Oryctolagus cuniculus: one gene and its partner. The protein of the gene in region 2 purifies or fractionates together with the protein of the main gene of each other region. This does not show direct contact. Links are inferred from orthologs where the notes say so. Each region holds a gene or a part of one and is shown on either strand. Other genes may lie near its edges.

The links. Proteins that work in one complex are often made in the same cells at the same time.
Region 1: the proteins of DUSP4 (region 2) and MAPK8 purify together in Homo sapiens (affinity purification with western blotting; 3 studies listed by BioGRID and IntAct, with this or other methods). This does not show direct contact. The link is inferred for Oryctolagus cuniculus from reciprocal best matches to the Homo sapiens genes DUSP4 and MAPK8.

What each region holds. Positions count from the first base shown.
Region 1 is NC_091446.1:81,310,941-81,317,754, forward strand, and holds the start of MAPK8 (mitogen-activated protein kinase 8), read left to right. Parts: upstream 1-2,387; 5' UTR 2,388-2,588; intron 2,589-6,814. UniProt on the Homo sapiens protein: Serine/threonine-protein kinase involved in various processes such as cell proliferation, differentiation, migration, transformation and programmed cell death.
Region 2 is NC_091433.1:79,441,789-79,448,623, forward strand, and holds the start of DUSP4 (dual specificity protein phosphatase 4), read right to left. Parts: upstream 4,540-6,835; 5' UTR 4,399-4,539; coding exon 3,990-4,398; intron 1-3,989. UniProt on the Homo sapiens protein: Regulates mitogenic signal transduction by dephosphorylating both Thr and Tyr residues on MAP kinases ERK1 and ERK2.

The DNA of each region.
Region 1 (6,814 bases), on a different chromosome or scaffold from region 2:
CTAGGCCCTCTTCTCACACACTACACTACACTGTCTCTCCATGGCCTAGGCTCACTCGTCCACACCCTAGGCTTTAGGTCACTCCTTTGGTCAGTGATTCATCTCTTACCTAGCAAGCCCCAGCCGTGTCAGTACAACTGCCAACTAGGCAATTCTTTCGGGCATATCAATAGTGGTCAGACCACCAGCGAATCTGCTCTCATGATCTTCCCCCCGCCGCACTGGGCCTGCTCCAAGAGTCCCACATTGCAGGATCAGCACCAGCTTCTATCCTTGGCCACAGGCCAGAAGCCTACGAGAGTCCCAAGATGATCCCCTCTCACCCACCACTTGCAAAACGTGCAAGCTGTGCACACTGGATGTTCCAACAGTCCTCCGGTCCTTCTACTTACTGTTTCCATGACAACAAGCCTAGACTGGGTCTCCACCTTTTGCTATCTAAGTCACTCCTACAATCAAGTGACTTCCTTCCAATAGGACCTTTCTTTTCGTTACAGCGAGAGAAGGAGAGATGAAGTGAGAAAGATAGAGCTTCTATCCACTGGTTCATTCCCCAAATGGCTGCAACAGCTGGGGTTGGGCCAGGCTGAAGCCAGGAGACAAGAGTCAGAGGCGTCATCTAGGTCTCCCATATGGGTGCAGGGGCCCAAGCACTTGGGCCATCTTCCACTGCTTTCCCAGGTACATTAGCTGAGAGCTGGATCAGAAGTGGAACAACCGAGACTTGAACTGGTGTCCATATGGGATGCTGGTGCTGCAGGCTATGGCTTAACCTGCACACCACAGCACAGGCCCCTAATAGGACTCTTTTCAAGATGTCATTCTGAGGACATTCTGAGCTGTGGATCACTTGGTTAATCCTCCACCTGCGACGCTCGCATCCCATATGGGCACCGGGTTTTAGTCCCGGTTGCTCCTCTTCCAATCCAGCTCTCTGCTGTGGCCCAGGAAGGCAGTGGAGGATGGCCCAAGTGCTTGGGTGCCTGCACCCACAGGGGAGACCAGGAGGAAGCACCTGGCTCCTGGCTTCGGATCAGCGCAGACCAGCTGTAGCGGCCATTTGGGGAGTGAACCAATGGAAGGAAGACCTTTCTCTCTGTCTCTCTCACTGTCTATAACTTTGCCTGTCAAAAATAAAAAATAAAAAAAGATGTCATTCTGACTATGCCACTCCCCCCAACCACCCCCACCCCCACTGCAGAACCTGTCAGAAAGAAAGACCTTCAGCAGGGCCAGTATGGCTGTACTAGGCGTGGGGTTTGTTATACCCACAGTATAACAAAGACCCAAATCACCCTTCACTCTGTCTAATGATGAACAGATGTTAAAATAATCTGGCACATTTCTCTTTTTAAAAAATTTACTTATTTATTTGAAAGGCAGAGTTACAGGGAGAGAGAGAGAGATCCATCTGCTGGTTCACTCCCCAGATGGTCGCAATGGCTGGAGGTGGAGCTGTGCCAGTCCGGACCTAGGGATCCGGAGCTTCTTCTGGGTCTCCCATGTGCATGCAGGGGCCCAAGCACTTGGGCCATCCTCTGCTGCTTTCCCAGGCCATTAGCAGGGAGCTGGATGCGAAGTGGAGCAGCCAGGACTCGGACAGGAGCTCATATGGGATGCCCGCATCGCAGGCAGCAGCTTTACCGCCTAAGCCACCGCGCCGGCCCCTGGCACATTTCTTTCCAGTTTTTTCCCCCTAGGTACTAGGCAGTACTGACACGGATCACTCCGTGTATGTGGGTGTCCTTGTTGCTTCTTTGTCTTTCCCAATTTGGTAACACTTCCTCGAACACATTCCTAAAACGTGCTCTATAGCACGCCTGACAGTAACGCAGGTGCCTTCCTCCTGTTGTTGGGTCTTTAAGGACCTGTCAATTTCTCTGAGGAGCTTCAGCTGTAAACCCGGCAATGCAAGGAATCCGGACTAGGTGCGTTTTCAGAAAACAAACAGGAGGCTAATAAAGGCCTTGGATTTGCCTCCGGACGCCGGGCCCCAGGCGGGTGTCCTCAGTATGCAGAGTCCAGTCGGTCACGGTAACCGGCTCCGGTCTCCCAGGTGTGCGCCCAAGTGGGTGCACCTGCTCGCCGGGTTGGTATGACCTTCCACGCCCGGGGCGAGGAGCCCTGCAGGTGCAGGCGCGCATCAGCGGACCGCCGCGGGGCAGCCGCCACCCGCCCGGGCCACGCGCCGCCACGTGCCGCCACCGGGACCCCGCCCGCACCGGCCCGCGGCCACGCCCCTCGCACGCGGCTGTCGGGCGGCGCTCCGGGGGCTCCTCCTCCTGGCGACCTCCGCGGCGGGTAGCCCCGCCCCCGGGCCGCGGCCCCGCCCCCGCAATCCGGGCCCCGGGGCGCCCCGCCCCGCGGGCCGCTCGGAGGCGCGGGGGGCGGGGCTCTGCGCGATGACGTGGGCGGGCGTGCGCGGTGACGGCCCGCGCGTCCCTGTTACTCAGCGGAGCGGCCGAGGCCGGACGACGCAGCCTGGAGCGCGGAGCCGCGAGCTGCGCTGGGTAACGGCCGCGGCGACCGCCCGGACGGCGCCCGTGCCCGCCGGCGGGCTTCCCCGTCGCTGTTCGCCGCGCTGCCGGGTGAGTGTGGCGGGCGCCGCGGCTGCCGGCGGCCCCGCCGTGTTTATGTTATTGTGCGGCCGCCGCCGCCTTCTCCTCAGCCGTGAACCCCTCCCCGGGCGTGGGGGCGGGCGCGCGCGGCGGGCGGGGGCGGCGCGGGAACAATAGCGGCCCCGGAGGCGGGGGCGGCCGCGGGGGGCGTGGGGCCGCGGGCGCCGGACGCGCGCCCCGGCTCGGCGCCCCGGGTCGGCTCGGCCCGGCCCGGCCCGGCCCGGCCCGCGCGCGCGCGTCGCTGTCGTTGCACGCCCTCCTCGCGGGGGTCCCGCTTGCGCGTCGGGAGGAGAAGATGGGGGTGGGCGGCAACTTGGGAAGCACTTGGGCGAAGGGGGCCCGGGCGGCCCGCGGCGCGCAGCCGACTCCCCGGCGCCGGGGGCCGGCGCGCTGGCGACAGGGTCCGCGCGCCCGCCCCGGCGCCCACGGGGACCGTGTGTGTGTGCGCGTGTCGCTCGGCGAGGTTCCTTTGTGCGCGGGCTTCCTAGTCGAAGGCGGCCTGGGGGAGGCCAGGCCCCGCGGCCCGTGCGTGGAGGGTGCCCCTCGATCCCGGCCCCGAGCCTGCGTGGCCAGCGCGCGTGTCCCCGCTGCGGGTCACTTCGGTGGTGACCTCTGGGCTGCTTCTCCCCACCGTGCCGTCGCTTTGTCTGCGCTGGCGTTCCCGACCCCCGGCGGGTGGTGGAAGCGAGGCCGCCTTGGACACTGTGGCGTCTTCAAGTTCCCCCTCGCGTCTGTACTGTGCGTGGATCGCCGTGTTGACCGCGCGGTAGGAGACAATGTCCGGTGGTCGCTGTTTGTAGATGCGGTGGTCTTTCCGGTGGAATTCTGGTCTGTCAGCTAAGCATCCAGTGCCTGCTTGAAGCGAGAACATCCGTGTGTGTGTGTGTGTGTGTGTGTGCGCGCGCGCGTGTGTTCCATTCATTCATTCATTCATTCATTCGGCAGCTGCTCCCTACTGCGCCCACAGGGGAGAGGTTTGCATGTAAAGGGAAGACGGCCCTCAGTGGAGGAGGAAGCCTTGGTTGCAGTGTAGCAGATGTGCCTTTAAATGAGATGGTTATATAAGCGATGCGTGTGTGGAGGTAGAGTTGTGCGCTGGGTCATTTTACTAGTTTTTAACAGAATCTCTGGAAGTTCAAGTAAAATGTTATACGAGGAGATAGTTATCTTTGATCTAAATCCACAATAGTTTTTACTTTCAAAAAATTTTTTATTTTTTTTGCCCAGTCTTCGAGCCCTGTGGTCATTTGGGATGGCTACCTCAGACCCGGCCGCCGCGGTTAACGTGAAACCCAGGAGGTCCGAGGCTGTGGTGCTGAGTCTGACTAAAGCCTGGGACTTCCTGGAGAGCAGGCCTGTCTTCCATCTGTTTCTCTTTTTCTAGCCGGGGAAATAGTAAGTGCTCAATACAACTTTTATTAACGTTCATATGGTTTGCGGAAGGTTCCTGCGATTCTCTTCCACATAGCCAAACGATCGGTTTCATATAATAGGAGATGGGTTATGGGCTTTTGAGTCACTTTGGTGTCATTCCCCCCCATCCCCCCCCACCCCCCGTCACTTCTAGGCCATCCACTATCCTAAAATAAAACCTTGTCTAAGTGTTTTCTGGTGATTCATAAAGTAAGTTGGATTGTAGGGGCCAAGGCGTGTCGTGTACGTGTACACACACACAGAGTGGTATTTTAGTAGGAGGCTGAAATGATTGCGTTTATCTTCTTGTAAGTATTGAGAGGTTTTTGACTACTTCTTTCAGTAGAAAAGCTAGAAAAAAGGATATAGACTGTGTAAATGTTTTATTAGAAATATGTAACTTCTAATAGGATTTTAGAAGCATTAATTGGAAATGTTTAACTCCTTATATTAACACTTCATGACGCATGTGGGACTAAAACTCAAAATAATACCTAATTATTCAAGTTATAGCTGTTTCCCACTCACTGCTAAGTACATTTTCACATTTGTTTTGATATGAAAGAAGTTGAGGTGAACTTACTGTTTGATGTCTAGTAGAAATGAAGAAATAATAAAGTGATACTTTATTAAAATACGGAATGATAATCTTGAGATACCAAATTTTAATTGCTTTACCAAGTTAGTCAGATGTCAGGATCCAGTAGGGCTTACTGATAAAAACCCTTTGGTCAGGCAATTTAAAGAACTAGAGTTGTGGCTGCTTTTTTTTCCCTAAATTTTTTTTTAATAGCATTCTTTACATTTAATTCACATATCATAAAATTCATCCTTTTAGAGTGTTCCATTTCAGTGTTTTTTTAGTATGTTCACAAAGTTATATATTGATCACTGCTTTTAAATTCCAGAGTATTGTCATCAGCCAGGGAAGAAACCCCATGCCTATTAGCAATCACTCAGCATTTGAAAAATGTTTTAAAGGGAGAGATGGCGCTGCTTCTGTTAACTAAATCCATGCCTTTAATGACTTTGCAAAGGGCACCTTTGAGTGTCCTGGAGGAACAGGAAACTGTCCTTCATACCTCTTCACATTGGAAAAGGACTCAGAGGAAGAGTAAATTGTATCAAAATTAATTCACCTAGAATCTTCAGTATACCCTTACTTTATATTACGGAAATGACCTGTGGTGATCCACGGTGTTTAGTGAAACAACTTGAAGTAATTTGTTATTAAATGACTAGTCACAAACTATCCTGGTGGTAATTAAGGTTGTTGAGTAGGCGCCTGCCTCGGTTGGGGCTTTGCCATCACGCTGAGTTTTGACATATTTGAGTCATCTGCGTGGTTGAGATGCTTTGTTGCACGTGTGGAAGAATGAAATAGTGTCTGGCTTTAGGATGCCGGCTCTCTCGAGGTCTCTGGTCAAGTCCTTGGTACGGGCAGTAGCCTTTCTGATTCATGTAATGCAAGGAAGTCATTATAACCGTGTAACTTTAGATATGAATCATTTGCCTATTTTAGTGAGCTGTGATGCTTATTGTCTTAGTCATGAACTCTTTACCTGAATATTTAGAAGCTTTGCATTCTTACGCTAATGCAGGTTAACTTGAATTTGATTTCAGAAATGAGTTCTGATTCAAGAGATTTTACTACCTGAAAGTTGACAAGAGTATTGAAATAATATGGTCTGGGAGCAGACCTAGGTTCACTTGTTACTTAGCTGACTTTGGAGTCTTAAGCAAGGTGGTTCTACAACTATAAACTGAGGCTGTCGGAATGCCTTTTTTTTTTTTTTTTTTTAAATAGAAGTTTGTTCCCAATTAGGTGTTTCTTCAGAAAGAAGCTGGGGTCCAGAACAGCAGTGAAAGTTAGGCTTCTGTTAGTTGTTAGCAGAGAACATTGTTGAGTTAGCCAGACTAGAAAAGAAAAGCATAACCATAAGCTCAAGATTGTTATTGTTTTAATGGTAGATTCTGTTCATCCTACAACACCATGCTTTCTAAGGAGACTTGCTGCTCTCAGAGACTTTGTGAAAGAAATGAAAATGGAGGTTCACTAGCCGTAAGAAGCTTATGATCAAGGATGGAATATGAGCCATATCTAAGCAGTGGACTTGTGCTCTGAAAAGATGTGTGAGGCTTCCCTCAAGCAGAGAACCCACTACAAATCTCTAGGCAGGCCAGATTTCACTGAAACCCAGGTTTTCAAAATTGTATCTGATACTTTTGAAAATCTTACTAGCTACTATTTTTCAAGGTATTGGGTTATGTCATACATGTGACATATGTCTGTGTCTACTGTTAGCTTTTACTTGTACACCAGATTGGGCTAAAACTGGCCAATTCTTGAAGAAGTTGAGGGACCCAAACCTCACAGTGATCGCTCATATGGACTAGGGCCATTCCCAAGTTCCAGTCCATGATCCCAGTGGTGTGGCTGGTTTAGATTAATTAGCACATTTGGACCTGTTGAATTATCATAGGGCTGTGAGTTTTAAATAAGGTGTTGCATTTGCAGGTGCCTGGCGCCGATGCCAGGCCTACATGGTAGATGTTAAGTGTTCAGGACATTTTTAACTATTGTTATCACTTAGTATTTTTAACTTTGAACAAATGCAAAATGTCAAGTAAATTTAAAACCAACTTGACTCTCAGTGTACATCGTAATCCTACAGAAGAGCATGCCAGTTGTTTCCCTTTGCAGCTCTGGGAGGTTTATTTACAGTTTGATCATCTCATCTAATCTGCATTGTCTGAGATGAATTATGTTAATATTTGGGCCT
Region 2 (6,835 bases):
CTCTGGCTCAGCAAATAAGCCTGGGGTTATTTGAAGGTCACTGCTGATTAGAACTTGCCTTTTGCGGGTACTGACCTGGTTAGCAGCCGCGGGAATGCTGGGCAACACTTAAAATTCACCTGGGGGACCCCCAGAGCCTGCAGCCGCCCCCAGCCTCGCCCCAGGTCCCGCATGCTCTCTGCAGCATTCGGCTCGCTGGCTTCCGTTAGAGAATGAACTTTGCTTCCTGTCACGCTTCCTCTTTGTTAGCCGGGAGCGGCGCCCGCTAAGGAAGCTGGCTCTCTGGTTTCAGACGTGCAGAGTTCTAGAAGACAGCCCTGGGCTCCTTCAGCCGGCCACCTTAGGTGTCTGCCCCAGGAAGCCCAGAGTTCTCCTAGGGAAGTGGCCACTCTCGGGTCACACTTCAGCCCCGGCTGGGGCTACTTCTCTTAGTTGCAAACCCAATTCAAAGGATGCCTTTGCTTTTTCCCTGATAATCTCCTCTTTCAGGCCCACCATGTTTTTTAAAAGATGTGTTTATTTATTTGAAAGGCAGAGTTAAGGGGAGGGGATTAATTTTCCATCTGCTGGATCACTCCCCGAATGATGGCAGAGGTCAGAGCTGGGCCAGGCTGAAGCCAGGAGCCAAGAGCTTCTTCCAGGTCTCCCCCAAGGGTACAGGGGCCCAAGGACTTAAGCCACCTTTCGAAGCTTTTCCAGGTGCATTAGCAGGGAGCTGGATCGGAAGTGGAACAGCCTGGACTTGAACTGGCGCCCATATGGGATGCTGGCATCACAGGCAGTGGCCGCAGCTCCACCCTTTTACAATACTAACTCTCCAGGCCTCCGCTGTCCAGAGCACACACGGTGTTGTATTTGTACAGGAAAAACATCCTTTCCCCTGGGCACACAGAAAGTGAGTAAGCTCATCCTCCCCCCAGGGGAAGCAGAGATAAAGACACAGCCACATGGAGATGACAGTCCCCAGCCTGGCCTGCCAATCCCTGCCTGTCATTCATGGTGGGCTCCGGAAAGAGATAGGTATCCTAGTGTACCACAAGGGGCACAGGAAATTCAACCTGGAGGGAAACAGGTGAATCTTAGGAAGGAAGATAAAGTTGTTATACTCGCAATCTCCTTGCATAACAACAACAACAATAATAATAGTTATTTGGGAATATTGGAGGTAAGAAATAACTTCTGGCTAAGCTTAGGGTAAGAAGATACTCCTGTCTTTCTCTCAACCAGGAATTAAAATTCTATGTCAGATTTAAGAAGGAGAGAGAGAAAAGGGATTCTAAAGATGTGTACTGGGATTTTATATAAAAAATACCGAAATCCCTCAATTGTCCCTAAAAATTCCTTACAGGATTTCAATTAAAATGTTTTAAGAAATTACTCCAATGGGACTCTTTTACCGGCAACAATGCAGAAAACACTGTAGAATTGTAGTTACTGCTCTTAACAAAACTGGGGTAATAATAGGATCTGTAAGGGCCCCACGGAACTCTGGTAAGCCTTTACTCTTGTCTTCCCGAATTCTCCTGTGGAATCAGTTACCACCTGCAGTGGTGGAAACAGGAAAACTGGATTTTTGCACGCAATTAATTAGTAGAACGAGATGAGTCTTCGCTGGGAAGAATGGTATCACTTCTGAAGATATCCCGTCGCTTTCACTGTCACCCTGTTTGGCCACGCAGGGCAGTCATCGGCCATCCGGCCCCGCCTGCTGGCTGTGCTGCCCACGGCCACTCGCCTCCCATGCGCGCGAATAAGACATAATAAAGGCCCCACTTCCGAACAGGAAAGTCAAATGAGCAACTCCGGTGGGAACCACATTACCCAGACCGCTATCAAGCGAGGCTCGCGGAAGACTACCCAAGGGGTTTTTGCTTCCCTTTAGATGCCGCTGCACCTTCCCGCGGGGTGTGGGGGCAGATCCGGGCTGTTTCCTTCCCGCCCTCTCCAGGGATGCCTTCCGCACCCTGAGGGCCGAGAGGACAAAGGGCCTGAGTGACATCAGAACGGAACGGAACGGAACGCAGCCCAGGTCACCTCCCCCATCAGGCTGGACAGCCCCGCGCCCTGGAGGCGCTTTGCTCTCTTTGCTCCTGAAGACGCAGCTCCAACCCCCGGCTTCGGTTGGGGTTGGGGTTAGGGGAGCAGCTGTCCCTGGCGAGTCAGCAGCTAAACCTGCTGCCCAGGACTCCCCCTCGATCTCCATCCCTGGGATGCCCCCTGTGGCGCGCGTAGGGTCGCAGGCGGTGCAGGCCTCGGTAGGATCGCCCTCTCCGCAGGCCAGGCACCTCGCCACGCCGCCGGGACACTGTCATTTTCCCCAGAAACGGCCTGGCGTCTCATCAGTATTTGCCTGGCTCAGACCGGGTCTGGCTCGGCGTCTCGGGATGGGATTCTGGCTGATAGCCCGGGGGACAGGACCTAAATCACTGTGTCCCGGAAGCCCCAGGGCTCCAGCCCCCGCGCTGCCGCTCCGGGGCGGTCGCCTCCGGATTTCTTCCAGGAAGGAAAACAAAACAAAACAGACGCCGGCTGCACGTGGGGCCGGAGCCCAGCGCCAGCCCCCTCAGCGTTCTCGCGCTGCTGCGTCCGGCCAGAGGTCCGCGAAGAGACGCGCGCGCTCCGGCTCCGAACCAGCGGGGCCGGGAGGGCTCGCGGCTCCGGGGGACTGGGAGCGCTCCGACAATGGCGCAGACGCTCGCCCAGGAGGTCTCCTAGGCACCTGCGGCGCGGGGACCCCGGCACCGCAGGGCCTGGCAGGGCGAGCGGCTTCCCCCGCGCCGTCTCTTAAAGCGCCTTGGGGAGATTTGGGGGTATAGGCTGCAGCGGAGGGGCAAAAGGCGACCCTTAGGGAAAAGGAAAAATCAGCAAAATCGCCTTAGCGGTTCAACCAAAGGTCAACAGCGGCCTTTCCCCGGCAGCTGACAGGTCAAACGGTCAGCAAACAACGACGCAGGACAAAGCCCCCCGCTGTCCACAGGGGCGGCCCGGCTCGCAGGCAAGGAGCTACGCGGCAGTGCGGCGGGGAGGGGGCGGTGGGGAGAGGTTTTCCGCCCCTCTCCCCCGCCCATCTCCCTTCCTCCCGGGCGAACAGGTCCCGAGGGGAGAGGCGAGGAGAGAGGGGGCTTAGGGCGCCTGCAGGGAGAGGGGCGGCTCTTTGATGGCGCGGCTAGGAAACGCCTCTCCGGGTCGGAAGCGAAGACCCGGCGCGGCCAAAGAATGTGCGGAATGCGGCGGCCCGGGGCGGGGTGGGGGGGCGCAGCGCGGCAGGGGACTCCCCGGCCCCTGGCCCGGCAGGTGCGGCCAGCGCGCCGCCGCTCCAGCGACTTCCAGAGCACGCGGGACCCTGCTGCCGCTGCTGCCAAGAGTTTGGCCAGGGTTCACTTCGCGCAGACACGCGCCACCATCAGACAGCCAGGGAGACTCGTAGCTGAACAAAAGGTCTCGAGTCTCCACCGCCCGGGTTTGCACGGTTCTGGCCCCGCGTCCCCGAGTCTGGGACTAGCCCAGCGCGGAAGCAACCTGCCACTTCCCACGCGGCGCCTGGAGTTGGGCAGTGGGAGACGGGACGCGAGGATCGCTTCCCACTGAGCCCAAGGGACACAGCCAGTCTCGGCGCTCACTCCCCTCCCTCACCCCCGGGGGGGTTAGGACTCGGGGCAGGGCACTCGGTGGCACCGGGGAGCACTCCCCGCCAGGACTCCAGCAGAGTCGCCTCACCCGCGAGGCCAGAACCGTTAGAGTGTAAGCAAACACGGTGTCGCCGCGACGCCTTCGGAATGGCAGGTGACCCGGGAAACGCAGCCGCACGGTCCCCAGGAACTCGGAGCTCGCACGCGCAGAGACGCACGACCCTTTGCAAACCCACGCACTACACACCAACACGCGCGCCAAGGAGCGCGCGGGGCTCCCCACGGCCAACGAAGTCGCCCCGGGTATTCGGTCCCCACGCCCCTGCCCTCCCCGCTCGCGCGGTGGGCGCCCGCGTGTACCTTTGAGCAGGCAGATGTCCGTGCGCTCGGCGTTGCGGCGCAGCGCCTGCACGACCAGCGACACGGTGCTGTCCTCCCGGAGGCTCTCGGCGCGCGGGCTCCGCTCGTCGTAGACGATGACGGCCGAGTAGAGGCCGGAGCGCAGCCGGGCGCGCACCTCCTCCTCGGCGGGCAGGATCTGCTCCAGGCTCACGGAGCCCTTGGCCCGCCGCCGCACGATGGTGTTACAGCGCACGTTGACCGAGCCGCGGATGTAGCCCGCGCTGTGCGCCAGGAACGGTCTGCAGTCCAGCAGCAGGCACTTGCCGCCGCCCAGCAGCCCCAGGGCGCCGCCGCCGCTCTCGTCCCGGTTCAACAGCCTCTTCAGCACGCTGCAGTCCATCTCCCGCAGCTCCTCCATCGTCACCATGCCGGCCGGTCAGCGCGGCTGCGGGGCGCGCGAGGGGGAGCGGAGGGCCCCCGGGCCGGCGAGGCTGCGCGCGGGCGCCTGCACAAGTGGCCGCAAACTTGTGCCGCCGTGGGCAGCCTCTTCTCGCAGTCCCCTTCCTCCCGCAGCTTCGCGGTTACATAGCAGGCGCAGCGCAGCGGTCCCGGGCTCCCGGTAGGCGGCTCGCTGGGGAGGCGCTGGTGGCGGTGGCAGCAGTGGCGGGGAGTGCGTGTACGGAGAGATCGCGGCTCCCGCTCGCTGCCGCCTCTCGTGGGCTTAGCCGGCCGTACTGTTCCCGCCGGTGCGCGGGCCCCCAAGCACAGCCGGAGCTCGGCGCACCGCCCGGCCGCGCTTCCTCCTCGGCTTATAGATTTATTAATGCTCCTCGGCTCCCCCCACCCCGGGGAGGGAACTCAATACTACCTTGCGAGGCTCCGCCCCCTCCCAGGCCCGGCCCCGCGCCCTCCCCCCCCCCCCCCCCCCCGATCGCAGCCCTCCCGGGCGCGTGAATGGAGCGCCGGCCGCTCGCGCCTGGTCACGGGGCCGCGACGTCACAAAGAGCGGAGTAAACAGGCCGCTCGGTGCGCGCCGCCAGGCCCATTCATAAAACGGAGACCCAGCGGAAGAGGGAGCGGCCTCCGAGCCGCCGGCGAGCGGCGGTGGCGGCGGCGCCTGGACTTTTGTGAATGGAGCCGCCGCTCCGCCCGCGGGCCCGGAGCCCGCCGCGCGCCTCCCGCTCGACACGAGCAGCGGGGCCGCCGCTTCCCGGGCCGCGCGAGGTTCGGTGCAATGGAAACAAACAGCCGGCCCGGACTCCGGCGCCGCCGAGTCCAGGACGAAGCTCCAGGCTGCTTCCCCTTTGTCTCCATGCTCTCCCCCCGCCCCGCCGCGCCCCTAACTCAGCCGCAGGTTTCTCCCCAGAGCCCCAAGGGAGAGGGGAACGCGGCGCGCCCCCTCCCCTTCCTCCTCCCTCCGGCGCGGCCCGGGACTCCGCTCCCCGGAGCTCAGCGTGCGCGCCCGGGCCAGCCAGGCGCGCTCTTTACGCAGGCGTTAGCGGGTGACTGAGTTTATCTCGCGTCGTGAGATCAGCTTTACGGCTTCCGAGGAACGTGGGCAAGCCCCTTTTACAAGAGGAAAGAGAAAGCCCTCCCCGCCCCCCGTAGCCCCGTAACGGCGAGAGGTGCCGGGCTGCCGTGGACCACCCGGAGGGAGGCGCGCATGGGCCGAATGGTGGTGGTGTGCGCCGCGCTTCCTAAAAGATGTTTATTTAACCCTGGCGGGCGGAGGCTCTCCTCCCCTTTCTGCGCGCGTGTGGACCGGCTCCGCAGGGCACAAAGATGGGGTCCGCGTTGGGTGTGGGGCGAAACCCCGAGGCGCGGCCGTGCGCTGACCTTTGGGAAGGATTGAGCGAGCCGCGGGCCCCACGCAGGGTTCCCGGCCTCCCGCCTTCCTTCCAGGTCACGTAGCATCCCCCCCCACACACACCCCCGCCCGGCTTTACTTATGCATTTAATTTCCCCGAGGCCTCTTTGACACCGGGGTTGTGCGCGCACGCGGTGGGGCCCTTCCAGAAGCCAAAAATTATTCGGCCGACATCTTGCCAAGCCTTGTTAGGGGAGAATTAATCACCGAGCTAGGGAATTACAGGACGCGCCGCGAGTCCCGGTAGCTGGGTCGCGCGCCGGCCCCTCCCGCCCCGGCTGGGCCCTCCCCGCTCGCCCTGCTCCGGGCTTTTGTTCCCGGCTGCGCGGCTTTCCGGAGCTCTCACCTCCGGCCCCCGGGGCCATTCGCCCCAGGCCCCAACCGGGGCTCAGCGGGGCCTCCATTTCCGAGGCCACCGACCTGCGCCCCACCACCCCGCCCTCAGCGCCCCGAATCCCCCACCCGGGGGCCTGGCCTGTGGCTTGTCCGGGGCAGAATCCTTATGTTCTGGGGCTCCAAGGTGGCTCAGCACGACTCTGCAGTGCTCCTGTGTCGACTTAAAATGGACTATTTCGTTCATCGTGCACTTTCGCGTTTTTGATACATGGCTTTAAGACATTTATTTTGATCAGTAACTTTTTCACACACACACACACCCCTGAAGTTTTGCGCCTGAGGCACGCGCTCACCCTAATCCCAACCCTTTGAGGGGCCCGGGCGCGGGCACTCCGGGTGGAGGTCAGCGGACACAGCGCACGGAGCGACACGAGAGGTCTCCGTGGCGCCCCTCATTCTGCTGGGGTGGCTGTGGGGCTCTCTAACCCCTGATCTCGTTAACACACCAGGAATGCGCCCTGGTCCAGGGGTCCCCCAGCCCTGACAGCTCCGGGAAGATTCGCTTTTCCAGGCAGCTCAGATATCCGGCCCCTCTCGGCGAGGAGAGACCCCTACTCCTTCGCAAAGGTCTGGACGGGACGTGGCTTCCAGGAGCCTCTCA